2 linked regions of the Anolis sagrei genome follow. The protein of the gene in region 1 purifies or fractionates together with the protein of each later gene. This does not show direct contact. Links are inferred from orthologs where the notes say so. Each region holds a gene or a part of one and is shown on either strand. Other genes may lie near its edges. The genes, in order: RIOK1 and COPRS.

Region 1 (15,944 bases):
TACTGTCTTTGATACTATTGACTGGTGGAAAGGGCAGGGGAGGAAGTGGGCTGGAGCCTGTGATGAACAATGAGGGGGGGAGGGGGGATAAAGAAGACCAAAGCAACTGGCAAGGAAAAACGCCAGCATCCCAAACAGCTGGTGAAACAGAGATTAAGACCCTGGCCATGAACTGCGGCATGGAGGAGGGGAGGTGTTCCACTAGCCGAGGGGCCCCCATAGAGGTCGTGGTGGGAAGGAGGAGATGCGGGAAAAGGAGACCTCAAATTCGGCCTAATTCGGACCACTTATCCACATTAAAAATTCCAAACCGGTCTCCTAAGGTAAATTGGTGTAACCAGGTGAGCGGACCCTCCGGACTGAAGGTGGTGCTGTTGAATGCCAGATCTGTCAACAGAAAAACGACCTGGATCCAGGACTTAATCCTGGACGAACGGGCAGATCTGGCGTGCATCACGGAGACCTGGTTGGATGAAGCTGGAGGAGTAAATCTGACCCAGCTTTGTCCTCCGGGTTTCTCCGTGCAGCACCAACCGAGATCCGGAGGGCGGGGAGACGGGGTCGCAGTGGTCTATAGAGATTCCATCCATCTGACCAGGTGCCCCATCCCGCAGACCGCAAATTTTGAAAGCGTCTACCTGAGGGTGGGTGACCGGGACAGAATAGGGATTCTGTTAGTGTACCGTCCACCTCGCTGCACTACAGTCTCCCTACCTGAGCTAGCGGGGGTGGTCTCGAGCCTGGCGTTGGAGTCTCAACAGCTTCTTGTGCTGGGAGACTTCAACATCCATGCCGAGGCGGCCCTCACAGGTGCGGCTCAGGACTTCATGTCTGCCATGGCAACCATGGGGCTGTCCCAACAAATATCTGGCCCCACCCACTGTGCTGGATACACATTGGATTTGGTTTTCTGCCAGGGATGGGAACAGGGTGGCGGTGTGGAGGAGTTGTCCATCTCTCCGTTGCCATGGACCGACCACTTCCTGGTCAGATTTAGGCTCACTGCGCCCCCTAACCTCTGCAAAGGTGGAGGACCTACTAAGATGGTCCGCCCCAGGAGGCTGATGGATCCAAATGGATTCCTGACGGCTCTTGGGGATTTTCCCGCCACCTCGGTAGGTGACCATGTCGAAGCCTTGGTTGCTCTCTGGAATGGGGAGATGGCCAGGGCTATTGACATGATTGCTCCGGAATGTCCCCTCTCAAGTAGCCGAGCTAAACCAGCCCCTTGGTTTACTGAGGAGCTGGCAGTGATGAAGCGAAGGAAGAGGGAACTAGAGAGCGTGTGGCGTTCGGATCCGAACGAGTCAAACCGAGCACGGTTTGTGTCCTTTCTTAGGGCATATGCCGCGGCAATAAAGGCCGCAAAGAAAACCTTCTTTGCGGCCACTATTGCGTCTGCAAAGAACCGTCCGGCGGAGTTGTTTCGGATTGTCAGAGGTCTTTTAACTCCCACCACTGCGGGCGGGAGCCCTGACAATTCGGTCGCGCGCTGTGAAGCATTTGCTCGGTTCTTTGCAGACAAAGTCGCCTTGATCCGTTCTGGGCTGGACGCCGCGTTAAATGCAGTCTCTGAGGATGTAACAAGAGCACCTGCTTGTCCTATTTTGATGGATTCTTTTCAGTTTGTGAAACCTGAGGATGTGGACAAGATACTTGGAGGAATGAGGCCCACCACGTCCATCCTAGACCCCTGCCCATCCTGGCTTCTGAGGGAGGCCAGAGGGGGATTGGCTGAGTGGGTAACAGTGGTGGTGAATGCCTCCCTTCGGGAAGGCAAGATTCCAGCGAGCCTAAAACAGGCTATTATAAAGCCGCTGTTGAAGAAACCATCACTGGACCCCACTAAATTGGACAACTTTCGGCCTGTTTCCAATCTCCCCTTCTTGGGCAAAGTCATGGAAAGCGTGGTGGCCTCACAACTCCAGGTATTCTTGAGAGACACGGATTATCTGGATCCGGCACAGTCTGGTTTCAGACCGGGACATGGTACCGAGACAGTCTTGGTCGCCTTAGTGGATGATCTGCGCCGGGAGCTAGACAGGGGGAGTGTGTCCCTGTTGGTGCTCCTGGACCTCTCAGCGGCCTTCGATACCGTCGACCACGGTATCCTTCTGGGGCGCCTTGCGGGAATGGGCCTTGGAGGCATTGCTTTGCAGTGGCTCCAGTCATTCCTGGAGGGCCGCACCCAGAAGGTGTTATTGGGGGACTCCTGTTCCGCACCACAGCCTTTGACTTGTGGGGTGCCACAGAGTTCCATACTGTCCCCCATGCTGTTTAATATCTACATGAAGCCGCTGGGTGAGATCATCCGGAGTTTCGGGGTGCGGTGTCATCTGTACGCAGATGATGTCCAACTCTGTCACTCCTTCCCACCTGCTACTAAGGAGGCTGTCGAGGTCCTGAACCGGTGCCTGGCCGCTGTAACGGTCTGGATGAGGGCGAACAAACTGAAATTAAATCCAGACAAGACAGAGGTACTCCTGGTCAGTCGCAAGGCCGAACGGGGTATAGGGTTACAGCCTGTGCTGGACGGGGTCGCACTCCCCTTGAAGGCGCAGGTTCGCAGCTTGGGTGTGACCCTGGACTCATCGTTGAGCCTGGATCCCCAGGTTTCAGCGGTGACCAGGGGAGCATTTGCACAGCTCAGGCTCGTGCGCCAGCTGCGCCCGTATCTCGGGAAGTCTGACTTGGCCACAGTGGTACACGCTCTGGTCACATCCCGCCTTGACTACTGCAACGCTCTCTACGTGGGGCTGCCCTTGAAGACGGCCCGGAAGCTGCAGCTGGTTCAGCGCGCGGCAGCCATGTTACTAACTGGAGCGGGTAGCAGGGAGCACACAACGCCCTTGTTGTCCCAGCTCCACTGGCTGCCGATTTGCTACCGGACCCAATTCAAGGTGCTGGTTTTGGCCTACAAAGCCCTAAACGGTTCCGGCCCAAAATACCTTTCGGACCGCATCTTGGCCTACGAGCCCACGAGGACCTTGAGATCGTCTGGGGAGGCCCTTCTCTCGATCCCGCCTGCCTCACAGGCACGGCTGGCGGGGACGAGGGAGAGGGCTTTCTCGGTGGTGGCCCCCCGGCTGTGGAACACTCTCCCTGCAGACATCAGACAGGCGCCCTCCCTCATGTCCTTCCGAAAAAGCCTTAAGACATGGCTGTTCGAGAGGGCATTTAATTAAGTGCAACAATGTGGTAAAGAATATCGGAATGGAACAAGGAATATGAGACTGGTTATGATTCTACTAAGAGACGAAGCGGATTTTTAATGTTGTCTGTAATTGTTGTTTAGTCTATATGTTGTTGTAACTGGTTTCTTTTGTAAATTGTCTTTTATATGTATTTGTACACCGCCATGAGTCGCCCTAATGGGCTGAGAATGGCGGTTAATAAGTGCATCAAATAAATAAATAAATAAATAAATTCTCCCTCCCACACAGGCAGAGCGGCCGGAGCAGAGGGTGTCTGCAATTGACGGAGCAGCGCCAGGTGGGCATGGCCAGGCCAGGCCGCGCGGGCCAGAGAAATGTCCTCCGCGGGCCGCATGCGGCCCACGGGCCGTAGTTTGGAGACCCCTGGTCTAGCCGACCAAGCCCACCAGTGCCAACCCAGTCTCTCAAGGAAAATTGTATGTACCCTGATCCCCTGTCCAAGCCCACAAAACATGCAAGGGAGTTTTGGTTTGGCTGTGACCTTGTCTACAAAATTGACCTGTTTGTTAATGGTGTCATGGCCACTCCCTAAATGTGGTTGAAAATAAATGTCACTGCATGTCTCTTACTGTTCTAGCATGGCAATAAATATTCTAGTCAATGAATACAGTATTAACACTTACCAATGGTTTAAATACATCGAACCTACCAATCCTTTTTTTACACTATATCAACAGCAGATGTTATTGTTCCAAATACATTTTTATCCCTGTAATACACACAAATTACCTTCTCACGGATCCAAGATAGTTAGCTAACCTATACCTTATATCCATACAGTTTAATTGAATGTAATTTATCATGGAGTCTTCCTCCAAGACCATGACAGAGAGCTCTGGGGAGCCACAGGAATTTTCCTATCATCTTTAGTGCCCATGCAGCATAAAAGGAATTACCATTTGCAAAAAACGGGGAGACAAAGTTTGAGGGACCTCTCAGCACCAGAACCAGGGCTGAAAAAAAGGGTCCCTTCTCAGTTGCCTCCTTCTAGTGGATGGGAATTGAGGCTTCTCTACCTGAACTGGCTGACCAAGACCATCCTGAGGGGGACACACTGCAGGCCAGGGGGGCAACCTCCAGCTGGATCTGCCACAGAGCCTTTCTGCCCACGACTGAGTCCAGGAAAGCAATGGGTGGCACCAACTGTCACAGAAACTTCTGGTCTGCTTGGAACCACCTGGTCTCCTTGGCAACCAGGTAAACACCTCCAGCTTTAGAACCCGGAGCAAAAATGGAACCTTTTCAAATGAAAACCATCCTGGAGCTTCCCTTGGAAAGGGCCCGGCAGGCAGGGTTGTCACATGTGTCCCTGATCCCAATCCTCCTCTTTGAAGAGAAAGTAGAGCCACAAGATTGTGGGCTGAACCCAAAAGGATCCAAAGAGCCTTTTGTAGTCCCCCCAGAGAGACAAACTCTTGAGTTTTCTGAAAAGAAAGGGTTTCTTCCTCTGGCTTGGGACACCTCCATTATCTGCCGCCACCACCTTCCCCACCAGCCAAACTAGGGGCTACCAAGGGGTCCTAGTTCCTCCCGGGAAGCCAACCATTTGGGGACATCGTCCTTTGTTTCATGTTCTGCTTTGGGGTACAAATGCCAAGGGGTAACTGCTTTGCTGACAAACAAATTATAGTCAGCAGCCCGGTCTCTATCTTCAAGTTACCCATCATGCTGCCAATTGCAATATGTGTTTCTTGGCTGATTCTTTTGCCAAATAATTGTGAAGAAGATATCAGTGTGTGAAGACTGCTAGCACACAGGAACTGGAAATGCCAAGGAGTCTGTGACTGGAACAGATAATATGAGAAAAATCAACTGTGATGTGCAAGTAGCAGCAAGATGTAAATTTGACAGGAGAAGAGTGATGAAGTGATGTGGTGCCAGGCGGAGTGGTACATGTTTGTGTTTGTATCTGTGCCACTGATAATTCTAGCTGATAAGATATCTCAAAAATATGTTATATACAGAATACTTTAATCTAAGTGTGCATCTACATGACAGAATTAATGCAGTTTGACACGACTTTAACTGCCATGGCTCAATGCTATGGAATAATGCAATTTGAAGTTTGGTGAGGCATATAATTTTGGGGCATATAAAACTAAAGACATTTAAAAAACTAAAACTTGCACTGAGCAATGGCAATTAAAGTAGTTTCAAACTGCATTAATTCTACAGTGTAGACACACTTGATTACAGTGGTTCCCAAACTTCGGTTCTCCAGAATTCCTAACTGTTAGCCAAGCTGTCTGGGGCTTTTGAGTGTTAAACATTCAAAACACCTGGATGGCCAAAGTTTGACAATCACTGTGATATTTCAAAAATGTATATACCTTATTTAATAATTGGTTATTTGCTTCTTGAAATGTTCCTGTTCTACATCTTACTGGAGCTGTCCATGGGATGAAAAATTTAAATAGACACCCATTACTGTAGTGCTACCTAGTCCTCAGGTGCAGATAGTTATATAAGTACATCATGAACCAAAATAGGTTGCAGAAAAAATTGTGGTAAGGAAACTGATATTTTTAAATTTTAATTAAATTGATTAGTTACCATTTTTGTCTATGTCACTTGTATAAATGCTCTTAAAATACAGTCTAAAAATTGCTTTCAATTATTTTGTTTATGACCCCTCCGTCTGAAACTGTGCCTAGAGTCTGGACAGGCAATTAATTCCTGAAAATTCTGAGTATTGCTTAACAAATCAGTCCATGTTTCCTGCAATTACAGGCCAAATGGTTATCTACCACTTACCAAAAGAGTTTAATTGTAATTGTTAGGAGCCCTGGTGGCATAATGGGTTAAACCCTTGTGCCAGCAGGACTGAAGACCGACAAGTCAGAGGTTCGAATCCGGGGAGAGTGCAGATGAGCTCCCGCTGTCAGCTCCAGCTCTCCGTGCAGGGACATGAGAGAAGCCTCCCACAGGGATGGTAAAACGTACAAACATCTGGGTGTCCCCTGGGCAATATCTTTGCAGACAGGCAATTCTCTCACACCAGAAGTGACTTGCAGATTCTCAAGTCATTTCTGACACCAATTTTTTTTGTAAGAAGTCATTCAGTACAATGGCTGCAATTCTACAAACATATATTTATTTATTTGCAGTATTACATTTATTTATTTGCAGTATTACATTTATTTATTTGCAGTATTAGTATACTGCTTCCTCTCTGTCAAAGAGACTCAAAGTGGCTAATATCAATTTGAGGAAATATATATAAAGAGCTGAGATCTACAGAGAATAGTAGGTTGAAGGAGCAGAAGTAGCTGAACAGCTATTGCAATTGGGGTACGGCCTGAGATCAGTCATTCAGAATGGAGACTACAATGCAGAATTTTATTTTATTTATTTATTTAGAACATTTTTACCCTGCCCTTCTCAACCCCTAGAGGGACTCAGGGCGGCTTACAATTGGCAACAATTCACTGCCGCTTCATAAAATACAAATAGCAAAAATAACAATTAAAACCATTAACTTTAAAATAAAAAAAATAAACAGTATACTTACAATCCATTTAGCTATTGCCAGTCTAGTGGCTATTTTTCTAGCCATATACTAATGATTACTCTGCTTCTCTTATCCAAATCCACTTCCAAGCCATAGCCAAATATCCATTGTCCTTTAACCTGATTGCCTGAAGGCTTGGTCCCACAACCACAATTTTACCTTCTTTCTGAAGGTGAGGAGGGATGATGATGATCTAATTTCCCTGGGAAGTGTATTTCACAGGCGGGGGGGGGGCTACCACCGAGAAGGCCCTGTCCCTCGTCCCCACCAAACGTGTTTGAGACAACAGCGGGGCCGAGAGCAGGGCCTCCCCTGAGGATCTTAAGCTCCGAGGTGGGACGTAGGAGATACGTTTGGACAGAAACGCTGGACCAGAGCCATATAGGGTTTTATAGGTCAAAACCAGCACTCCTCTATTTGTATATACAAATAGAGGAGTGGTATAAGGAAACAGGGATAAGGGGAGATATGCCCAGTTAAATGCACAATTCCAGAGGTTAGCCAGAAGAGATAAGGAACTATTTTTAAATAAGCAATGCATGGAAGTGGAAGAAGACAACAGAATAGGAAGGACAAGAGACCTCTTCCAGAAAATTAGAAACATTGGAGGTAAATTTCAGGCAAAAATTGGTATGATAAGAAACAAAGATGGCAGGGACCTAACAGAAGCTGAAGAGATCAAGAGAAGGTGGCGAGACTATACAGAAGATCTGTATAGGAAGGATAATAATATTGAGGATAGTTTTGATGGTGTGGTGAATGAATTAGAACCAGACATCCTGAGGAGTGAGGTTGAATGGGCCTTAAGAAGCATTGCTAACAACAAGGCAGCAGGAGACGACGGGATCCCAGCTGAACTGTTTAAAATCTTAAAAGATTATGCTGTCAAGGTGATGCATGCCATTTGCCAGCAAATATGGAAAACACAAGAATGGCCATCAGACTGGAAAAAGTCAACTTATATCCCCATACCAAAAAAGGGAAATGCGAAAGACTGCTCAAACTTCCGTACAGTGGCCCTTATTTCTCATGCCAGTAAGGTAATGCTCAAGATCCTGCAAGGAAGACTCCAGCAATACATGGAGCGAGAGTTGCCAGATGTTCAAGATGGGTTTAGAAAAGGCAGAGGAACGAGAGACCAAATTGCCAATATCCGCTGGATAATGGAGAAAGGCAGGGAGTTTCAGAAAAACATCTACTTCTGCTTCATTGACTATTCTAAAGCCTTTGACTGTGTGGATCATAATAAATTGTGGCAAGTTCTTAGTGGGATGGGCATACCAAGCCACCTTGTCTCTCTCCTGAGGAATCTGTACAAGGACCAAGTAGCAACAGTCAGAACTGACCACGGAACAACAGACTGGTTCAAGATTGGGAAAGGCGTACGGCAAGGCTGCATCCTCTCACCCAACCTTTTTAACTTGTATGCAGAACACATCATGCAATGTGCGGGGCTGGATGAATGCAAAGCTGGGGTGAAAATTGCTGGAAGAAACATTAACAACCTCAGATATGCAGATGACACCACTCTGATGGCCGAAAGCGAGGAGGAGCTGAGGAGCCTTCTAATCAAGGTGAAAGAAGAAAGCGCAAAAGCCGGGTTGCAGCTAAACGTCAAAAAAACCAAGATTATGGCAACAAGAATGATTGACAACTGGAAAATAGAGGGAGAAACCGTGGAGGCCGTGACAGACTTTGTATTTCTAGGGGCAAAGATTACTGCAGATGCAGACTGTGGCCAGGAAATCAGAAGACGCTTACTTCTTGGGAGGAGAGCAATGTCCAATCTCGATAAAATAGTAAAGAGTAGAGACATCAGACTGGCAACAAAGATCCGCCTAGTCAAAGTCATGGTATTCCCTGTAGTCACCTACGGATGTGAGAGCTGGACCTTAGGGAAGGCTGAGCGAAGGAAGATCGATGCTTTTGAGCTGTGGTGTTGGAGGAAAGTTCTGAGAGTGCCTTGGACTGCGAGAAGATCCAACCAGTCCATCCTCCAGGAAATAAAGCCCCACTGCTCACTGGAGGGAAAGATACTAGAGACAAAGTTGAAGTACTTTGGTCACATCATGAGGAGACAGGAAAGCCTAGAGAAGACAATTATGCTGGGGAAAGTGGAAGGCAAAAGGAAGAGGGGCTGACCAAGGGCAAGATGGATGGATGGCATCCTTGAAGTGACTGGGCTGACCTTGAGGGAGCTGGGGGTGGTAACGGCCGACAGGGAGCTCTGGCGTGGGCTGGTCCATGAGGTCACGAAGAGTCGGAGACGACTGAACGAATGAACAACAATAAGGAAGCATGGAAAATAGCAATAAATGATAAATTTACATGTATATTAAAGGTTAAAAAAGGTACATGGAAACAAAGCGATTTTGATGCTGTATGGGGAAGATTTGTGGTAAATGGATTAAAAAATAAGGAAGGAAAATTACCGTCACAAGAAGAAATGAAATTTTGGACAGATGAAATGTAAGAATGGTGGCTTGAGACAGGTGGAGGGGAGCACTGTGGTGGAAAAAAGGGGAAAAAAAGAGAAAAAGGGGGGGAAATGTCAAAGCAAAACAACAAAACAACATGTTAAAGAGGCTGATGTACAAAATGCAATAGTGTGTAATAAATGTGATAAATCAATAAAAATTAATTTAAAAAAAGGTCAAAACCAGCACTTCGAATTGTGTTCGGAACTGGATCGGCAGCTGATACAACAGGGGGGTGAAATGAGAATACCGTGTAATAATAATAATAATAATAATAATAATAATAATAACAGTAACTTTAATTTTGTATCTGCCTCTATCTCCCTGAAGGGACTTGGGCAGCTTACATGGGGACAAGCCCATGTAGAATGAATGCAGTTTGACAACACTCAATGCTATGACATTTAGCTGCACTGAACTGCATTATATGCGTCTACACTGTCCTATAATTCAGTTCAAAGCAGATAATTTGGATCTTATATGGCAGTGTAGAAGGGGCCTCACGCAAGGCAACACTAAACCATGAACCATCATGGGGTTTTCTTGGAAAAAAAATCTTGAGAGGGACTTGCCCAAGGTTGCCCAATGGGTTTTCTATGGCAGAGGGCAGATTCGAACCCGGTTCTTTTGAATCACAGGCCTGAGCTTTAACCGCTACGCCACGCTTTCAACGTGTCATCTTTGCAGACGGCGGGCTCATTGCGTCATTCCTGTATGGTCCAATCAAATCCATCAGCGGGAGATAGAATTCCTACATACATACAAGAGAGAATGAGAACACAGACCCAAGCAGTCGTCTGCAGAGGTATAAGCCTCATCGATTGGCGATTACTTTGGGCTGGCTATTAGTCGTGCTTTGGACACAGTTTGTCGTTCCTCCGGGAATAGGAGCCGGCCGCTGTTACGAGAAATGGCTGCGGATGGCCCTCGGAAGGATCCGTAGAACGTAGCTTCTGACGTATTGTGCCGGAAGAAGTGGGATTCGGACCACGTGGGTGGAAAGCTTGGAAATCTTCTCTTTCTCTGTGGTGCTGGAGGTGGGCAAGGGATGCTTGGTGGGAATAGTGTCACTAGGTTTGAATTTTTCTGTTTTTACTCTAAATCACACTGTTTTCTTCTGTAGATGTACTTTTGGTGCCTTTGAAGAAATTGTTTTGATGGCTTGTTTTTTTGCTTTGCTGGAATGGAAAGTATTTTAGATTGGTGTTTCTTTTTGGTACTATTCATTTCCTGTGTAACATTGCTTTCTTTTTAAATGCTTGTTTTCATTTTGCGTGTGAAGAAGGTGGAGGACCTTTATTTTGCTTATGAAGATAATGTAGATATTCTCTTAAATAAATGAACATACAATAATATATGCAGATCTTCTCATGTTACTCCTAAGATCTGCATATGTTAGCAGTAACAAATTCCACAATCTCCTAGCCATAATGGATACCTAACTCATCTAATACATTCATTATTATTGGGGTTTTTTTTTACTTTATTTCTATTCAAGGCGGCTAACAGTCACACACTTTGATCAGTTTACAGCAAAGCAAATACAAAAATTAAAAAACGATTAAATAATAATAATAAAAACTCAGCTGCTATCAAGACCTCAAAATCGAATTGCAAAGTCTCTGGAATAAACCAATACAGGTGGTCCCAGTGGTGATTGGCGCACTGGGTGCCATGCCAAAAGATCTCAGCTGCATTTGAAAACAATAAATATTGACAAAATCACGATCTGTCAGCTGCTAAAGGCCACCTTGGATCTGCACGCATTATTTGAAAATACATCACACAGTCCTTGACGCTTGGGAAGTGTTCGACTTGTGAATTTGTGATACAAAATCCAGCATATATATCTCATTTGCTGTAACATGCTGTGGTTTTGTGTCAATAATAATAATAATAAAACTTTATTTTTAGACTGCTCTCTCTCTCTCCCCGAAGGGACTCAGGGCGATTTACACATACAAAAAGGCAAGCTTTCAATACCTCAAGTGAGTACAAATGTAAATAATACACAATAAAGCCGGCATCCTCAAACCACGGCCCTCCAGCTGTTTGGGCCTCCAACTCCCAGAAGCCCTAATGACCTTGTTCAATTGTCAGGAATTTTGGGAGTTGAAGGCCCAAACATCCGGAGGGCCGTAGTTTGGGGAAGCCTGCAATAAAGCAAAAGTCACAACAATGAGCTTATAACAAACAATTAAGCATAATAATAATAAAACTTTATTTATACCCTCGGAGCAGCTTACATGAGGCCAAGTCCAAAAACACATCAAAGCAACAACAATAATAAAACAACAAGTAATAAACAAACAATACAATCAATAAACTCACAAGTAGAAAATAACACACAAAATTTAAAACTTTAAAGATTGTGATGAAAAATAAAACAAAACAATCCAATAAGACATAGGCAACTAAAACATAAGTAAACATTACAACAAATAACCCCAAAAGCAATTTAAAATACAGTTACATTAAAAATTGTTGGCATCAGTGTTGATTTGAAATGTAACGTGGCAGTCATATAGTACAAGTGGGACTAGCCAGCATTCCAAGTAAAGTGTCTTAGTCCTCCTCCTCTCCATACACTAAAGTGCATAGGTGCATTTTTAGAAGTTTCTTAAAGGAGAGGAGGGTGGGGACTGTTGTTACCTCTTGGGGGGGGGGGGAGTTCCAGAGATGGGAAGCAATAATGGAGAAGGCCCTCTCTCTCATTCCCACCACCTAAACTTTCTGTTCTGTTCTGTTCTGCTTTTAAAACATTGGATTGTATTTCCCCATTAAATTAACCAGATTGTTTCTAATGGGCCAAGTCTGTGGTGTGGTGGATAAAAATACTAATTGTTGCCATTCTGGGAAAAGACGGAAACACCAACTATAGAAGACTGAACAGTGAAGATGTGGGAATTAATAGAAATGGAGAAATTAACAATGTTGTTGAAGAATAAGTCACTGAACATTCTTAGAAAAATGGAAACTATTTTGTCAATATATATCTGAGGGATAAGGACAGACTTTATGTACAGGTTTGGATTCATAGAATGTTTGGATATTCACCTATAAATGTTAAAACAAGCAGAAGTAAACAATTTTCTGGATATAAAGTGAAACCAACAAAAGAGAAGCTGGAAATCCATTTTTAAAACCGATGTATGTATATTGATAGATTTAGAGTTATAAAGTACAGATGTATGTTCATTGTCTATGTTTATGTATTCATAAGTATTGTTCCTTTGTGTGTGTGTGTGTGTGTGTGTGTGTTGTCAAAATTTTTAATTAAAATATTGAGAAAAAAAGATGTCAACATTTTTCATGGCATATTTGGCTGCTCACATTTTTAAAAAGTCTCCTGCAGTTACAGCCCTAGTAAACTTATTTGATGCATTAGGAGGAATAGTCTCTATTCTCTTATCTCTGTGATGCTGGCAAAATTTGATATGTAAATAGATTATTTATGAGTAAAATATTCAAAGGAGTGATCTTACATATCCAAAGTGTCTGTGTCTTTTTGTCAAACAGAAAACACAACATGGTCCAAGTCAGAGAAGGCAGCTTTACTTTTCCTTTTCCATTGGCCATGTTGGGCTGGGCTGATGGGAATTCAGTCCAATACTTCAGGGCCAAGCATATAATTCCTGTTCAGTTTGTAGCACATATGTCTTCTTTTTCAATGCATGATAGTAGTTGATCTTCAGAAGATAATGTTTTACAGACTATGTAGAGATAGAGTACTGCATCTGTGAGTAGTTCCCAGCCAGGATGATTTATGGCATAGTATAATAATAATAATTTGCACTGTTTATAATGCCCCAATACAGTTCACCTGTAATATATTGTGTATACTATACTTTCCTCTTACAACATCTGCATATATTTATTTTGTAGGAAGCAAAAGACTGCACAGATTGTATACATTGGTGACTAGCCAAAATGGATTACAGGGAGGAAATTATGAGCCAGATAGTTCCAGGACAATTTGATGATGCAGACTCTTTGGACAGGTAATTGACAAGTTCTATGGTTTTCAGGTTCTATAATCCAAATGTGGTTGAACTCCAACTTTTATTAACCTTCACTGGGCGGCCGTTGTTGAGTAATTATGGGATTTTATGAATTTTGTTGTTATATTTTAACTATGTTGAACCTTGGGCTTGTCTACATATGAGCCGCCCCAAGTCCCTTCGGGGAGATGGAGGAGGGTACAAAAATAAAGTTGTTGTTGTTATTATTATTATTTGTAGTGCAAAAATGTCTGGTAGGCTACAGCTGCCTGCTTGTGTTGCATTTCAAATAACAGCTCTCGTCACCTATCATCATACTCCAGTTTCTATATTGTTATTTGGATAAATGGAGTCAATATTGTTGTTTGGATAGATGAACAAATGTTTGAGGAATATAGGGAGAAAAATGTGTGCTCGTGCCATAGAGAGCAACAGTATCCTTTCCAAAGGTTTATTCCATCATTCTTAACCTGAACTTGTAGATACAGTTTAAACAGCACAATGCTTTTCAAACTGTGTGTCACAACATGATGGTTTGATGGTAGCAGTGTGTAGGTGTGTCATGTAAAGTTTATGAAAAATAAGCAATAAATCACATATTACACACACACACACACACACACACACATATATATAATGAATTTTTTCATGAGATATGTTGTGTACCCATATATTTGGTTAATACTATATGTATGTATCCCTATCTCTACTAAAGGATTAGTTTAACCTCTGGCTTGATAGGAAAACTGTATGATTGTTTCACAAAATGATGCATGTCTAAAAAGTGTGCCACCAACATGAAATGTTTGGAAAGCTCTGGTCGAGCAGCTTGGTTTCATCAACAGTATGCTCCTGTTGTAAGAAATTCTTGAACTACCTTTAGATGGAGGAAAATGTATGAATTAAGGGTGAAGGTTTAATTCTTGAAGATGGTTAAACTTTGGCTTTGTGTTCTCTCTGCTGAGTTCCTTACACATCTGTATTTATTAGGAGAAAACCATAAACCAATAAATGTGTTCACTAAAATAATGCAAAGGATCCTTCTATTAAAAAACAGGCTCAGGTTCCAGTAGTGGCAAACCACTCATGGAACAGACCATAGATAGTGTTTGCTATTCCCTTTGCTCAAGGTCCAAGACATCCTTGCCCCTGTGGAACAACAGTGGCAGCAGGAGGAATTGGTGGCCATATATTGCTCTAGCTCCATATTTCTTGAATGCCTGGCTTGAAGACGCTATGGAAGGGCTGCCCTGGAAATTTCAAGAAATAGGCAGTCCTGTTGATGCTGCCTTGTTATCACAGCTGCTTTCACTTTTTCCTGGATAACTCCTTCTCCCATATTTTGTTTCCCTGGAATGGTTTCTCAGCTCAGGTTCCATGAGTGCTGAGAAGACTTGGTAGGCCTTGGTGGCCACACTATGTTGACAGCTGTTATGAACACTATTTATTTATGTATTTATTTACTTTGCTTATATACCGTTGTTCTCAGCCCGGGGGCGACTCACAGCGGTGTACAAGATAGAAAAACAAGGTTCAAAATTCAGGACACTATCTAAAATATCAATCTAGCAGTAACCAAAAACATCATTATCAAAAACATCAGCAATATCAATAATACAAACAGCCATTCACGTTGTCTCATCGTTTGAACCACAATCCAGTATCATTTTCCGTTGTTCCATTCCTGTCGTCATTACCAATTATTGCACTTCTTGATCGAACGCCTTCTTGAACAGCCAGGTCTTTAATTTCCTGCGGAATATCATCAGGGAGGGAGCCAGTCTGATGTCCACGGGAAGGGTGTTCCACAGCCGAGGAGCCACCACCGAGAAGGCCCTGTCTCCCCAAAGGCAAAAGACTCCTATCGCTTGTGTAATGCTGCAGAAGAAAGCTGCTGTAGTCCCCTCCTACTGCCAAATGTGATTCAGGATTGCTGTTAAGCTCTGGGTTTACAATGTTGTTGGAATAGCAATTGCAGATCAACAACTTCGGCAGGTTCATATTCTTCCCACTCCTGTATTAAGCCTTAGATTGACTTGGGAAATGTTGAGTAGATCTGAGGCAGTTTGAAGTAGCTTCAAATTGTGGTGGCCAGACAACTCACTCACACAAGTGCATGAAGACAGCCCTTAATATGCATCAATACTCTGGATTGTGTCATCACCATCTGGATTTCAAGGTGGTTCCAGGATTTCATATGCACAGCAAAACCACTTTTCAAACTGTATTAAATGGTCAGTGTAGATGGGACCTGTGTTGGTTAACAGAAGTACATTATTAAATGCATGCTTTCCAGTATTGTTTCATAGGAGCCCCCAGTGGCACAATTGGTTAAACCCTTGTGCTAGCAAGACTGCTGACCGAAAGATCGGCAGCTTGAATCTGGGGAGTGAGGTGAGCTCCCATCTGTCAGCTCCAGCTTCCCATATGGGGACACGAGAGAAGCATCCTATAGGATGGTAAAACATCCAGGTGTCCCCTGGACAGTGTCCCTGCAGACATCTGATTCTCTTACACCATAAGTGACTTGGAATTTCTGAAGTCGCTCCTGATACGAAAAAAAGTATTAGGAAACGTTTAACCTTCCAGTTTTTACAAAATTTCTGTTTTTAATATAAAGGCAGAGAGAATGCTTTCAGGAAGGGGGAGAAGCAGATTTATATGCCAACCTTCAGGCTGTGTAGCTTCCTGGACAAAGAAACAGATGGGAGGTTTTCCACCTACTGCTTCAGCTGGAGAG
Region 2 (16,108 bases), on another chromosome or scaffold:
CAAGAAATAATCCACTGTAATACCGGTTGAACATCTCTTATCCAGAACTCAAAAATTCAAAACACTCCAAAATTGTCCACATGGATTACTGAGATAGTGATATCTTTGCTTTCTCATGGTTTAATGTATACAAACGTTATTTTATGCTCAACAGTATTAAAATGTTGTATATTAATGGCTATGTGTATAAGGTGTTTTTTTAAATATTAAAATAATTTCATTTTTGGACGGGTTCCATCTTTATCTCATTGTTATTCAAAATTTAAAAACCTGAAGACCAAAACACCTTTGATCTCAAGCACCTGGGATGGGTGTTACTCAACCTGTATATGGATACACTGGCCGTAGGAGAACCAGTATTTTATTGTGCTATTTATTATCTAGTGAAATCTGGAATGCTGCAAGTTGCCCCTCTAGTTTAACACTTTACACCTCTTGAAACTTTAGGAGATGACACATCCTTTATGGTACTCTATGGTCCTAAGGTAACAGGTCTTTTCATATGTTCCTTCCCATCTGAGTGACAATTAACAGGAGTTTCTGTGAAAGAACTTTTTTCAGAAGTAGCGTCAACTGACTGAAAACACCTACTTTAGAACACTTTAGTTGCTTTCTTCTCAGGTGGCATTTCCCTATCACTTGAAAATATTTTTCTTTTAGTGGACTTATGAACAAGGGTGTTATCTTTTTCATCTATAGCTTTTAATTTTTGCATTGTGTATTCCTTGTTTGTTGCTCAAAGGGAACTTCAGTGGGTGTTACAGAATAGAAGGAAATAGAATCCTCCTTAGCAGCTGAGTTGATTGGCAGGAGTCATACCAAAATGTGGGAAAGCACACAGGACTGTGAGTGAGTGGGTGAGACACAGAAAGAGCCATGCTGTTGCGGGAAACACTCATACTCAGGCTCACCAGTGCTTCCTCTCTTCTTGCCGGTCCCTTATAGGAACTACTCCAGTAAAATCAAGCGGCAATAAAAGTACAGGGGTAATTGAAAATGCTCACATCAGTATTAATATTGCAATCTTCTTGGTTGTCACCCCCGGCTCTGGAATTCTCTTCCCAGGGAGATCAGACTAACCCCTCCCTATCCACTTTCCGCAAAGATCTGAAGACACAGATGTTCTGCTGTGTGTTTGACTAAACAATTCCCTCGACAATTGGCCCCAGTTAGGACCCAACATTTTTTACCATGCACTTTACTACTGTTTTACCCAAAATCAGAATGATCCTTCTTATATTGCTCTTATCCTTAACGCTGCTATATGACTTAACCACTTTTCTCATTGGCCCTATCCCCTGAATTGTTGTGCACCAGTTCGCCCACCCATATAGAGGCTTGAATTATGCTAATGTTGTTGGGTGTTTTTTTGCTTGTTTTATATTTTATTATAATTTTGTTTTATGTTGTTTTAAATTGATGTTGTGCATTCTAATGTGCTACGTTTTAACTGTTGATTGGGCTTGGCCTCATGTAAGCTGCCCCGAGTCCCTTTGGGGAGATTGAGGCAAGGTATAAAAATAAAGTTGTTATTACTGTATTTAACTGCCACAAAATGGTAAGGTCAGTGTTTTGATGTCATTTCCCCCCCACTTTTTTGCTTTAAAGGAATCTGGAAAAATGTTCAATATCCGAGAATATTATGAACGAGCCTTGAGGGAGTTTGGCAGCACAGAACCTGGTAAGAAGGCTTTCTGTTTTCCTGCAAGTCTTGAATCTAGTCTCTGCCAGCCTAGTGCCCTGCCAGAGATTTGGGATTTCAATTTCCCCTTGCATGACCAGTGGTCAAGGGCTGTAGTCCACAAAACTCTGGTAGGTATTAGGCGAGGAAAGTCTGGTTAAATTAGTAACATCTCTGCATTAATTACATCTTGTTAAACGGCTAGTCTTATCCTTTCTTTCTGTATATGATTAGTAGTTTATTTTAATGCCCCTTGTTGTAAGCTATCTTGAGACCTGTATGGGTGGAACATAATATGCTTGGGCAGCATGTTTAATCATCAACATCATGAATTAGTTTCATAAGCAGCCCATTTAGCCATCCCTCTTAATTAAATTTCCCTTGGAAGTGAAACCCATTTGCTTTGCAAACAATGAAGGAAGGAATGTTTCCTTAGTAACGGATATCTCTTGTTTTTTGTGGTGGATTTAGGGAAGGGTAGTTCATTACCAGTGACTGATTCTGTCAGCATATACTGTAATCTTAATATGGGTGGAGCTTTCCTTATCTAGAATTTCAGAATCCAAAATGTTATCTCATGCATATATATATATATATATAGAGAGAGAGAGAGAGAGAGACCTAAAAAAAAAAATCCAAAACACTTTTGGTCCCAAACATTTCTGATAAAAAGGATATTTAGTCTGCACAATGTCCAATAAATTTACTTTCTTTTTTAATCCAAAGTCTTCTACCCTTTCTCCAAATTTCTTTGACAGTAGTAGGATATATTTAGCTTAGAATCAGGATTTCCGGAGCACAGCTAGTTGTTAAGTTGTGACTCATCCTCAAAAAGCCACTCATCCAGTCTATCCTCCTATCCCTTCATTTACAAGTCCCCATATGAGCAGGGCAATGGAAACTGATCTTAATTCCTCAAAGTGACTGGCTGTTTTTTTCCCTCAGTGCAGGGGAATGTAGGAGTCTCCTGCTAAGTACTTGTTTCCTACGTTTTACTTTTTGAGAACATTTTTGCTGAAAGATGAGATAGGGGATAGCAGGATGTTTCTTCTAGTCTTGCCTTAGTTATTAGAGAGAAGTATGAGATAGAAATGGAGATTCACAAGCTATTATTACTACCACAAGTTCTTTACCCCTCTCAACTTCAGATTACCCAGTCTTCTGAAGGAGTAGCCATGGACACTATACCAGTAGGGAGGATTGAGTTCTTTGTCCTTATGCTGAAGTGCACCAAAATACTATAAAGTTGACAAATCCATGGGTATCCACACAGATACATAGGACTATGTATAGTTAATTTTTTTGACCTACAGTGAGTTGTTTTTCTTTCATGTTTCTCTTTTCTTCTTACAATCTTAACTGGGTTTTCTTTTCATTTGAAGATCTTTGGCTGGATTACATCAGGGAAGAGCTGAACCATCCTGAAGGCAAGCCAGAGAATTGTGGCAATATTCACTGGAGAGCAATGAAAGCTTTGCAGGGAGAACAAGTGGACACTTTTATTTCAAAGTACACTTTGCTGCAAATTGGACACCTGTGAGCAATGTTGTGACTGATGTGGATCAGAAGAACTACAGATCAATATAAAACATTCCTTTCCCTCCCTAAACACTTTGTATGCTTCATTCTTCCAAAGGCAAATACATATTTAGTTCTGTCCTGGATAAAAAAAACCAGTATATACTGATGGCTTTTTCATAGATTTCTGTGAGGGCAAAAAGCTGGGATGAGGAACATAGTTTGTCAAGATTGGTGCTGTTGGGGTGAGCACACAAAATAAACATTTCCAAGTTTTTCATTTTTACCCTGGCTAGGAAAAAAGATTACATTTATTACTGTGCAACATCCACTGTGTTGAGCCAAAAGAATGTTACTGATAGTCTACCTGTCTATATTTTTTCTACTTTTATTGTTATGCCCTGCTTAAGTTGGCTCAGTATGTCCCAGAAACTCAATTGGACAGGTGGAACCAACAAGAGAGGGGAAGGAGTAAAGACCACTTGAAGCAGATCTTTCCAGAACACTTTCTTGCCAGCTACAAAACAGATCAGTCTACTACCCAAAAGTGGGCAAGATCTTGTGGTGGTGGTGTAACAGTGAACGTTGCATTTTCTCATTAACTTTGTGAGACCAATGGGATCTGCCCCCCCCCCCCCCCCACTAATTATATCATTTGGCAATGAGGCTGGTGCAGGAGGGGAAAAAATCATCACTATCCTGAAGATGCAATATGAAAAACTTGATTCCTCATAGCTATTCCTGACATGATAAATAGTGTGTGGAAATACATTAAAGCAGAGTTTCACCATGGACCCTGACTCCTAAGTCCCATTTGTGGCTGCGGACCAACAAGACTCAAGATTTTAGGCACTAGACCAGGCATGGGCAAACTTAGGCCCTCCAGATGTTTTGGACTTCAAGTCCCACAATTCCTCACTAAACATAGTTTTGCAAGACAATTAAATCAAATTCTCAAAATGTTGGTGTGTTAGATCAATTCACTTAAAATACAGTCCACAACAAGGTTGTTACACATTCACAGGTTTCGCTGAAGGGATGATATCTATTTGGAACAGATTTATTTTTAAATTACAAAGAAAATGATACAGTAATTAGTATGTTTTCAATCAAGCAGGCCCTAATAATATTATCCAGGGGGCCTGAAATGTTGATCTTCAATTTCATTGCATTTTATGGAAAAAGTGGTAAATCTTGTCAACACAAGCATTTGTGAGTCAAGGAATGATTATTTGATGCAAAATACAGCCATATGATCTTATTTGTTAAGACTCACAGAACTACAAACACTGCAGGTCAGATATTGGATGCTGTCCTTTTCAGGCATTTCAGTCAACATCTGATCACGAGACAGCTCCGTCCTCATTATTTGTGTAAAAAAAAAAAAATACATGTCCTGTGGGGTTCCTCGGGGTACTGTTTTGTCCCCCATGCTGTTCAACATATATATGAAACTGCTGGGAGAGGTCATCTGGAGTTTTGGAGCTTGGTGTCATCTATATGCAGATGACACCCAACTCTACTACTCCTTTCCACCTAAAGCTAAGGAAGCTGTCATAACCTTAAACTTGTGTCTGTCATCCGTAATGGCCTGAATGAGGGGAAACAAACTGAAGTTTAATTCAGACAAGACAGAGGTACTCCTGGTCTGTGGGAAGGCAAATCAGGGAATAGGGGTCCTCCCTATCCTGAGGACACACTCCTAAAGACACACGTCTACAGTTTGGGGGTCATCTTGGACTTGGAGCTGAACCTGGAGTCCCAGGTGTTGGCAGCAACCAGGAGGGCTTTTGCACAATTAAAAATGGTGTGCCAACTGTGCCTGTTCCTTGGGAAGCCAGATCTGGCCATGGTGGTACATGCCTTAGTTACATCCTACCTGGATTACTGTAATGTATTCTATGTGGGGCTGCCTCTGAAGAGTGCTCGGAAACTTCAGCTGGTCCAAAGAGCTGCAGCCAGGTTGCTCACTGGAGCTGGCTGGAGGGAGCGGACAACCAGCGTTGCATCATCTCCACTGGCAGCCAGTCTGTTTCCAAGCACAATTCAAAGTGCTGGTTATGACCTTTAAAGCCTAGACCCGTGATGGCGAACCTATGACATGCGTGCCAGTACTGAAATGCGTAACCATTTCTGATGACACGCAGCCGCATATAGAGAAGCACGGAGTCACATGCCAAGGACGTTTCATCCTTGGCTCCTGCATGGACGAGTGCAGTAGCCAAGGATGAAACATTTGCTGTAGTGTAGACACACTGTGCCGGAGGTCTGTAGGCCAAAATAACAGCACTCTGCCACAAAGCGTTTAGTTCTGGGACTTCTGGTTAGGCCGTTAGGGGATATTTGACCTCACTTCCAGCCGGCGTAGCAGAATGCCGCGGGGATGCATCTTTGGGGGCCCTGTGATCGCCATTACTAGCAACCACATAACCACAGCAACCATCATCCAATCTACTGTTCTGGGAAGCCAGAAATAAGTGAGGGGGAAGCTGGGAGGTAAGGGTCTGTGCTATGGGTGCCATTTCCCACCATTAGGAACAGTGGCAGCCATCTTAATTTACACTAAGCAGGTAAGTTAAACAATTAGTTTTTGGTTTATTAAAAATTGTATATTATAATTATACTTTTTATTATTTAAACTATAAATATCACAAAATTAAGTTTTTCCCCCCTCAAAGTGACACCCCACCCAAGCTACGTTGTTCCGTCTTCTTGGAGCATGGTTTACATTGCCTTTTAGCTGCATGGGTTAGCATTCTTTTGCATTTCCCCACGGTTGCTACAATTTCAGCTGCACCCTGAAAGTTAACAGCATCAGAGGCTGGAAAGCCAGCCTGCAGGCCTTTTTGCAGCTATTGGTGTAGAAAGTATCTCTTTGGGTTAGGAGTCCGCCTTTTTTTCCTGGGCTTGAGATCTCCATTTTGGAACCTCCCCTGCCTCCTTCAGTTTTAGAGAAAAGCCTCAGATGTGCTGTAAGACCAGTCAGAGAGCTCTGAAAAAAATCATTGTAAGTACAATTGAGTAAAGGAAAGAATTGAGTCTTAATTGAGTTATTAAAAAAGACAATTGAGTCTTAATTGAGATTTCAAGCTATTTAGTATAAAGGACTATTGAGATAGTTATTGAACACTGTTTGCTTCATCTCCAAAACTAACCTTGGGCTGGAATAGGGAAGGCCTACACTTTCTAAAAGATAGTAGCTCAGGGTTGGGGTAAAAAGATCTCAGGATTTTTTCTACCATTTGGAGGAAGGCAACTCAGCGACTAGAGGAAAAAAGAAAGAAAGAACATCTCTATGGTTTCACTAATTGACTGTTTTGTTTGTAACTTTGACCAGCTGTGCCAAGTCTGCAAGGACTTTGAGAAATAAATATTCTGTTTTGATGTTCCAAACCTGAAATGGCCTCAGTTGCTGAGAATTTTTGAGCTTCTAAAGAAAGACCCCTGCGGTCCGCCCAGACAAAGAGAGAAGCACATCTTAGTTTTAATTTTATAGGATCTGGGTGTGACAGCACATACATTTTTTGGGGGCAAATTTTGACACACTCAGCAAAAAAGGTTGCTCATCACTGGCCTAGACGGTTCAGGTCCAGGCAATTTGGTCCACTGCATCCCCTTGTAGGAACCTGCCCGGGCCCTGAGGTCTTCAGGAGAGGCTCTTACCTGTGTCTCACCTCCATTTCGAGCTTGTTTGGTGGGAATGAAAGAACAGGCCTTCCTTCTCAGTGGCCGCTGCCCCTCGACTTTGGAACTCCCTTCTTTTTCCCAGGGAATAATAATAAACCTTTATTTATACCCCACTACCATCTCCCGCAGGACTCGGTGCGGCTTACAAGAGGCTGAGCCCAAAATACATCAGAAAAAGACACAACCACAACAATACAATACAGCAATAAATAACTCATAGCAAAGCAAAAACAATAACACAATATCACGACGCAATTTAAAAACCTGGCAGGGCTAATGTAAAGGTTAAATTTTTTTTAAAATGCTGGGCATGACAAGGTAAAAAAGGATGGATATTTTGGGGGGTAAGTGGGTGTGCAGACAATTCTAACTCTCTCGTAAAGTGCATTTGGGACATATTGCTTGGGATTCCTTAATCTGGGAAGGCACACTGGAATATCAATGTTTTCAAGCTCCTCCTGAAGACTGCCAATGTTGGGGCATGCCTGATGTCCTTGGGGAGGGAGTTCCAGAGTTGTGGGGCCACCACCAAGAAGGCCCTGTCCCTCATTCCCACCAATTGCGCTTGCGATGCAGGTGGGATCGTGAGCAGGGCCTCTCCAGATGAACGAAGAGATCGTGTGGGTTCATATACGGAAATGTGGTTATTATTATTATTATTATTATTATTCCCAGGGAAGCCAGAATGGCCACTTCCCTACAGTCCTTAAGACAGCAGGCTAAAACCTTCAATTCAGCGGGTGCTGTGCTTTTGTGATGCGTTTTTATGTGCTTTTATGGTTTATAACCTGGATTGTTTGAATATGAATGTTGTTTCATACTGCTTTAATATTTGTATATTTGAAGTTGGACTGAACTGCTTTTAGTTGTGAGCCGCTTTGAGCCTCTGTATGGAGAGAAAAAGAGGGATATAAATAAATATTATAATAATATACTTGAATTCAAAGCAGATCATGTGGATTCAGAAACTGAATGATAAGGCAGTGTGGATGGGGCCTGAGAGGATGGCAAAGACAGCCTCCTTCCCTTGAACAAGTTGTTCTCAACCTGTGGGTCCTCAGGTGTTTTGGCCTACAACTCCCAGAAATCCCAGCCAGTTTACCAGCTGTGAGGATTTCTGGGAGATGAAGGCGAAAACACCTGTGGGTAAGGCAAGAGAAGAGGCCTGAGGGAAGTGGAGGCAAGGCGCATGCGCGAGGATCCCAACGGCGCGCGGCGCTCCTTCTCTATTCGGTGGTTCCCTCCAGTCAATCCCCTCCCTCACCTTTCCGCGTGCTGATAGAGCGGACCACGTGACCCCCCCCCCTTTGTTGAGGGAGTTGCTCTTCCCCTCAGATAAATAGGTCGTCGTCTTGTGTTGGGAAGGAAGTGTGTGTGTGTTTGTGCGGCAGAGTTTGAGCAGCAGGATGGAGGGGGCCGAGCAGCGAGGTCCCCTGGAGCAAAGGGTGAGGAAAGAGGCCCTGGGTGGAAGGAGAGAGAGTGAGGGACCTCCAGGCCTCTCCTGAGGGAGAGGAGAGAAGCCCAAAACTGAGGCTTTAACACACTGTGGAGCAGGCATGGGCAAATTTGGGCCCTCCAGGTGTTTTGTACTTCAACTCCCACAATTCCTAACAGCCCTTTCCCCCTCAGCCTGGAGGGCCCTAGTTTGCCCATGCCTGCTGTAGAGTTAGTATAGTTTGACTTCCCTTTAACTGCCCAGAGGTGTGGAATCCTGGAGGTTGCCCTTGTAGTAGGGCCACTGGCGAGGCACAGAAGGCCTTGTGGAACTATAAATCCCAGGGTCCCAGGCATTCAGCCACGGCAGTTCTGGAATGAAGTTACACTTCAGAATAGGCTGCCTTTATTACCTCCCTCATAAAACACAAAGTGCACATGTTTATCTTTTATGCTATATTTTAGAGCAGGGGTCCACAAACTTTTTAAACAGAGGGCCAGGTCACAGTCCCTCAAACTGTTGGAGGGCCGGATTATAATTAGAAAAAAAACATGAATGAATTCCTATGCACACTGCACAGATCTTATTTGTAGTGCAAAAAACACTTTATTATTATTTATTATTAACTTTATTTATTATTAACTTTATTATTAACTTTACAAAGGCCAAGGCCTCGATACACAGCATAACAATACAAAACCTAAAGCAAATTAAAAACAATTAAAGCAATATTAAACAATAAACAATACACCAAAACACAATAAAACTGGGCCGGGCCAGAGTAATGGGTACAGAATTAAAAGTGCTGATGTGACAGGTGGTATATAAGGATTATAGGGTAAGTGCAGTGTGCGGCAATCTTAGTTCTAATAAAGTGCTTCTGGGACTTGGTATTGGAGATTTCCTATTTTGGGAAGGCACATCGGAACAGCCAGGTCTTCAAGTTCTTTCTAAAGACCGCCAATGTAGGGGCCTGTCTAAGATCTTTGGGGAGGGTGTTCCAGAGTCGGGGGGCCACCACAGAAAAGGCACTGTCGTGTCCCCACCAAACGCACTTGCGACACAGGCGGGATCACTAGCAGGGCCTCTCCAGATGAACGCAGTGAACGCGTGGGTTTGTAAACGGAAATGCGGTCACGCAGATAGGATGGCCCCAAACCGTTCAGGGCTTTGTAGGTAAGCACCTGCATGTTAAATTGGGTTCAGAAAATAAACGGCAGCCAGTGGAGCTCCTTGAACAATACAATAATTAAAATTAAGAACAATATTAACAAATATAAACTTATTAGTATTTCTATGGGACCTGTTTTTGGCTGATGAGATAGGATTGTTGTTGTTGTGTGCTTTCAAGTCGTTTCAGAGTTAGGTTTGCCCTGAGCGAGGGCCGGGTAAATGACCTTGGAGGGCCGTATCCGGCCCTTGGGCCTTAGTTTGAGGACCCCTGTTTTAGAGGAAGGAACTAGGAAAACTGCCTCTGAGTCTTCCATGACCTAGGAAACCCTGTAAAATGTATATGGTTGTCATAAGTTGACAGAACAGCTTTCTAAATACTCCTTGCTTGTTTTTAGGAGAAACATTTATTGTCTCAAAGGTTTACTTTGATATAGAAGTGAGGTGGAAAACTCTTATGAAGAGGTGTAATTGAATTAAGATATTTTTATTTATTGTTGAAGGCTTCCATGGCTGGAACCACTGGGTTGTTGTAAGTTTTTTGCACTATATAGCCATGTTCTAGAAGCATTCTCTCCTGACATTTTGCCTGCATCTATGGCAGGCATCCTCAGAGGTTGAAGAAACAACATCACTGTGGTCTTTTGAATTCTGACGTCTTCTTCCTACTTCTCCAGGTCCTGTGCCAGGGAGTTCCTCCAATGGATTGTTGTAGGTTTTTTGGACTGTATGGCCATGTCCTGGAGGCATTCTCTCCTGACATTTCACCTGCATCTATGGCAGGCATCCTCAGAGGTTGTGACCTCACAATCTCTGAGGATGCCTGCCATAGATGCAGGTGAAACGTCAGGAGAGAATGCGTCTAGAACACGGCCATACTATTTATTTATTGACTTTGTTTATATACTGCTTTTCTCACCCCAGGGGGAACTCAAAAGCAGTTTCCAACATATTCACGGCATAATTTAATGCCTTACAAAACATAAAAACCTAACATAAACAACAGTAACATAAAGCTATCAATTAAATCATAAAACGTAATTATATTTAAACAAGGAATTAAAAACATATTAATATGAACATTAAATCACATGATCCAAAAGCATGGTCCAGACCGTTCCAGTATCAAATAACAATTGATAACAATACTAAAATGATATTGTGAGTCCTGGGACCAGAGTAGAGCAACTATATGAAAGGAAAAACACACATAAATTACTATTTTTTCCTGTCTAAGAATTTGTAGGTCTTTCAGCATGACACTATGGTCAGTTTCTACTGGAGGGTCATCATAGAAGTTAATGGAAGGAACTTGAGATTCCTAGAAAGATGTTATGTCTGGAAATCTCAAGATTCTCCTGCTTGATTGGAGGAAGTTTATCCTTGACACATTAGAGGGCTCAGAGAATCCCGGAGAGAAAATTTAAATCAATCCATGAATAAACAAATCTTCTAAAGTCAAAAGCACATATATGAAAGAATGACTGTATTTGAATATTGAGTCATGGCTTTGGAGAGTTAGGATGGTGACAATAAGATAATGGTAGTAGGTGGGACTTTTGAATTATGCAAGATTATAATGTTTAGGATTAAGACAAGGATCTGATTTCTAGAGAGAAAAACACTGCATTAGGATAGTGTTTCAGCATATTAGGAAAGGAAGAAAAACCCAGAAGTTTACAAATGTTTGTGTAGTGGAGAGTAAAGGTGACGTCTATGTAACATCTTAAGTAACATTCAATAAAATTATATTTGTTTTTTAAGATAAGCATGGCTATACTGTGCTTGCTCCAGTGTAAAAGTAAAGTTGAATGAAGAGCCTAAAATAAGATCCATATAAACAGAGACAGCTGTAGATCTTGGTAGCAACACTACACTTGGAAAAGTGTGAATATATGAGATGGGATCTCCATAGGTGGTGATTAGCATTTTGATCATGTTAGCATCATAACATGGACTCACTAAATCAGTGGTTTCCAACCTTTGGGCCTCCAGGTGTTTTTGACTTCAGTTCCCACATTTCCTAACAGCTGGTAAGCAGGCTGGGATTTCTGGGAGTTAAAGTCCAACCTTTGGAGGCCCAAAGGTTGGAAACCACTGCACTAAATCAATGGAAACTTGGTAAGTCAATACATAAGTTCCATTGATTCAGTGGGATTAATCCTAAATCCTAGCAGGATTTAGGCCCAAGAAATAAGATTTTCTGTCTGTGGAAATCCTAATTAAAATATTTATATAATATGAAGAAACTGGAGCAGTGTTTCTCAACCTTCCTAATGCCGCAACCCCTTAAGACAGTTTCTCATGTGATGACCCCAACTATAAAATTATTTTCGTTACTACTTCATAACAGTAATTTTGCTACTGTTATGAATCGTAATGTAAAATCAGATATGCAGGATGTATTTTCATTCATTGGACTAAATTTGGCATAAATACCCGATACACCCAAATTTGAATACTGGTGGGGTTGGTGAAGGGGAGGGATTGATTTTGTCATTTGGAAGTTGTAGTTGTTGGGATTTATAGTTCACCTACAAGCAAAGAGCATTCTGAACTCCACCAACGATGGAATTGAACTAAACTTGTCACACAGAACACCCATGGCCAACAGAAAACACTGGAAGTGTTTGGTGGATGTTGACCTTGAGTTTTTTAGTTGTAGTTCACCTACATTCAGAGAGCAGTGTGGATTCAAACAATATGGATAAAACTTGGCATGAGTACTCAGTATGCCTAGAAGTGAACAGTGATGGAGTTTGAAACAGTAGACCTTGACATTTGGGAGTTGTAGTTGCTGGGATTTATGGCTCACCTACAATCAAAGAGCATTCTGAACCCCACCAACAACAGAATTGGGCCAAACTTCCTACACAGAACCCTTATGACCAACAGAAAATACTGTGTTTTCTGGTGGTCTTTGACAACCCCTCTGACACCCCCTTACAACCCCCCCCCCCCCGAGGGGTCCAGACCCCTGGTTGAGAAATGCTGAGCTAGAGTTAAGAAACTTTTCCAGTGTATTGAAAAGTGTTATCATTGTGAACTGGACAGTTAAATTTGGACAATTTAAGGACAGTGTTGTGTGCTTATGTGCACAGACAAATGCATTTGGTCACACCTTAGTTTGATCAGATTCCTTCAGATTGTGGAATAAATATAAAAATGTATATCTGGCAAAGAAAAAAGACAATTGCCTGTGATAGATGTTAGGATAGGTTTTCTGTGGCCTACAAGAGGATTTCTAAGCAGATGTTGCAAATAATCAGCAACTAACAACGTTTCATGTTATAATGTTTCATATTCACATAGAATAGATGCACAGAATGGTAACACATATTTTGATAACAGAAATATAAAATATAGAACATAATAAACAATTTTGCAGAGGTAAAACAAGTATAGGATTATTTAGTACCTATCAGAATTCTTACATTATATAATAATTTGACTTACACCAGCATTTCTGTTCTGCAAATAAAGGTTGATGGATCTGCTTTTGCTGTTCAGAAGGAAATAGAAGTGGCGAAGATTTTCGGCTGGAAGCCTAGGAAAGGTATTTCAAAGGGGTTGGTGGTGGGGAATGATGTGAGAGGTACAACTTCAGTTTACTGCACAAGATATTTCCATTTTCTTGGAAGAAACATGTATAGCACTGTATGTTTCTCTTCCAAGTACAGACCCTGAAATAGGCCTTGGATAGCAAGGCTGGGAAAGAGAAGAGCCAAGAGAGTGTGTTTGTTTAGGTGGACAATTGGCCTTGTTTAAAGTAAAATGGTTCTTTATGTTGTAATATTAAATTTACGGCGCTCCATGCAGTCATGCCAGCCACATGACCTTGGAGGTGTCTATGGACAACACCTGCTCTTTGGCTTAGAAATGGAGATGACCACCAACCCCCAGAGTTGGACACAGCTGGACTTAATGTTAGGGGAAAACCTTTACCTTTTTATTAATTTTTATAGCCAGAAAAAGCATAATGCATTTAATATATCTGGAGTCTTCAGTGATGATTTAAAGAACAGAAAATTTGTGAATACTGGTTTTCTAGTTGTCTTCTACACACGAAAGTAAATGTGTTCTTTTGATCATTATGGTGTAAGAGGGGCAGCTCTCAGAAGCAGATATATTGATACTTAAAGGCCCCTGTGATGGGGTTTAAGATCAGAGCACAGCTGGTACACTGCCTGAATGTAGCACCTGCTTTTTGTTGTTCAGGATGTAGCTATATATGGCATACCGGGATAAATCAGCAGTCCACATGGTGGGTGTAGAAAGCAAGCCTTACTAAATTAAGGAGCTATATGTGGTTTTTTTTCATATTAGGAGCAACTTGAGAAACTGCAAGTCGCTTCTGGTGTGAGCGATTGGCCGTCTGCAAGGACGTTGCCCAGGGGACGCCCAAATGTTTTGATGTTTTACCATCCTTGTGGGAGACTTCTCTCATGTCCCCAAATGGGGAGCTGGAGCTGACAGAGGGAGCTCAACTCACTCTCCCCGGATTCGAATCGCTTAGCAATGCTTAAAGCTTAGGGAGGTGATTGGGCTTCAGTCCTGCCAACACAGGGGTTTAACCCACTGCACCACCGGGGGCTCCTTGCTATATGTGTTAAGTCCTGGGGATAGGAAAATGGTAAGAGATTGTGGTTGTTGAAGCTCTGAAATCAGAAATTCCCAAAATCATTTGGCCTACTGCCCCCTTTACAGAAAAAAATTACTCGGCATCCCCCTTCAAATCAACCTTGTTTAAAGTGAATAAACAGAAAGATGCCATGATAACATCCTTTTATGTAGCTGTGTTTCTACCTACATCCTACAACATGGTAAAGAAAGATGTTATTGTGGGTAAAGACTAAATATAGCACATGATAATATTAATATTCAGATAATGAAGGGTAATATTAAAATAAAAATTACAAATATCATTAAAATAACCCTAAATGAGAAGAATGAACTTGGTGTGCTGCTATCAATGTATTAATGTTCATCTCTATTTTTGTCAGCATTAATTAATTTTTTAAAACACTTCCCGGTACTGCACTTGCACTATTAACTGCTTTTCACACAATTTAGAAACTAAATTAGATTTCATACATGTCACCTATTTATAGTGTTGTGTTGTAAACAAGTCATTGCACACATATTTCTGCTAGTGCATGCTGGATTTCCTGACAATGGATGACACTCTCACTTGTCAATACGTGCTTGGTCAAGTCCACTATCAAGACCTGACAGTGGACTTGACCACTGATTTGTTATAACTTGTGTTTTGTGTGTTCATTTGCAAAATAAAGTAATCACAACAGCTTTAATAACTCTTATGTAACAATGAAACATATATGAACATGTGTTGTTGAAGTGTTTCATGGCTGGAATCACTGGGTTGCTGTGAATTTTTCAGACTGTATGACTGTGTTCCCTAAAGTTCCACCTGCATCTGCTGCTGGCATCTTCAGAAGTTCTGTGAAGCAAGTGGAGTGTATTCTGTGGAATGTCCAGGGTGGGAGAAAGAATCCGTGTCTGTTTAAAGCAAGTGTGAACGATGCAATTAGCAAGCTTGATTAGCATTGAGTAGCCATGAAGCTGCAAAGTCACCCAGTGAGGGTATCTGCATAGAGGTAGCCTGGCCTCTGTTGTAGTTTCATGGCTTGTTTGATAACAATAGGAATTCACCTCCCCTAGAATTTAAAGGAAATGTTCTTTCAGTGTTTCTAGGTCTGATGGGAAGGGTAGGAGAGAAGGCAACAGACACTTATAGTGATGCAGAATCCTTTGAAGATTTGGAGACAGACAGTGAAGAGTGTTGGGAATCGGGTGGTGAAGATAGCAGTGGGCCCATCACCAGTACAACTTCTCCTGAGATGAAAGTTACACTCCAGCATGAGAAAGAGGACTGGGATTCAGAGTTGGCAGACACTGAAAACGGAAACAATCCTTACGGTAGGTAGATCCTGGAATTAAAAAAACAAAAACAAATAATGATAGAAAGTCATGTGACTGGGTAGAGTGCATTGTGAAAAGGGGATTTCATCCTTGAAACCAGTGCAAGTATTTCTGCAAGGTGTCTGTATTTGAGAAAAATCTTAACGTTGACCTTTTAATTCACCAAAAAAGGAAATTACCACTATTGCTTCTGTTGGTTTCCGATCTCTGATATAAGGTGCATCTTCACTGTAGAATTAATGCTGTTTGACACCACTTCAACCATCACTAATCAAGGCTATGGGAGTTGTAGTTTTATAAGATCTTTTGCTTTATATGACAAAAAGTGCTGGTGCCTCCAAACTACAACTCCCAGGATTACAGAGCATTGAGCCATGACAATTTAAAGTGACGCCAAACTCCATTAATACTAGAGTATTTCTGGTATATCTAGAAGTTTATACAGTAGAAAAACCTAATAGTACAAGTGATATTGTGGTCCTTTTAAAAACCAGTATTAAAAATTACAACATCAAGAGTTTGTGCTACTTTAAAGACCAATGAGTTTTATTTGACATACAAGCGTTCATGGACTGCAAACTGTTTTAAGGTGCCACAAAACTCTTAGTTGTTTGCATTGCAACAGACTTTCACAGCTATCTCCCTTTAAATTTTGTACATCAAAAAAGAATTGA

What was found.
Region 2: the proteins of RIOK1 (region 1) and COPRS purify together in Homo sapiens (affinity purification with mass spectrometry; 3 studies listed by BioGRID and IntAct, with this or other methods). This does not show direct contact. The link is inferred for Anolis sagrei from reciprocal best matches to the Homo sapiens genes RIOK1 and COPRS.

Annotation. Positions count from the first base shown.
Region 1 is NC_090024.1:85,104,138-85,120,081, forward strand, and holds the start of RIOK1 (serine/threonine-protein kinase RIO1), read left to right. Parts: upstream 1-10,095; 5' UTR 10,096-10,277; intron 10,278-13,088; 5' UTR 13,089-13,133; coding exon 13,134-13,204; intron 13,205-15,944. UniProt on the Homo sapiens protein: Involved in the final steps of cytoplasmic maturation of the 40S ribosomal subunit. Involved in processing of 18S-E pre-rRNA to the mature 18S rRNA. Required for the recycling of NOB1 and PNO1 from the late 40S precursor.
Region 2 is NC_090022.1:144,739,313-144,755,420, reverse strand, and holds the start of COPRS (coordinator of PRMT5 and differentiation stimulator), read left to right. Parts: upstream 1-8,216; 5' UTR 8,217-8,292; coding exon 8,293-8,331; intron 8,332-12,974; coding exon 12,975-13,047; intron 13,048-15,197; coding exon 15,198-15,431; intron 15,432-16,108. Other genes in the region: UTP6 (U3 small nucleolar RNA-associated protein 6 homolog), read left to right, coding at 1,609-1,681, 3,064-3,221. UniProt on the Homo sapiens protein: Histone-binding protein required for histone H4 methyltransferase activity of PRMT5.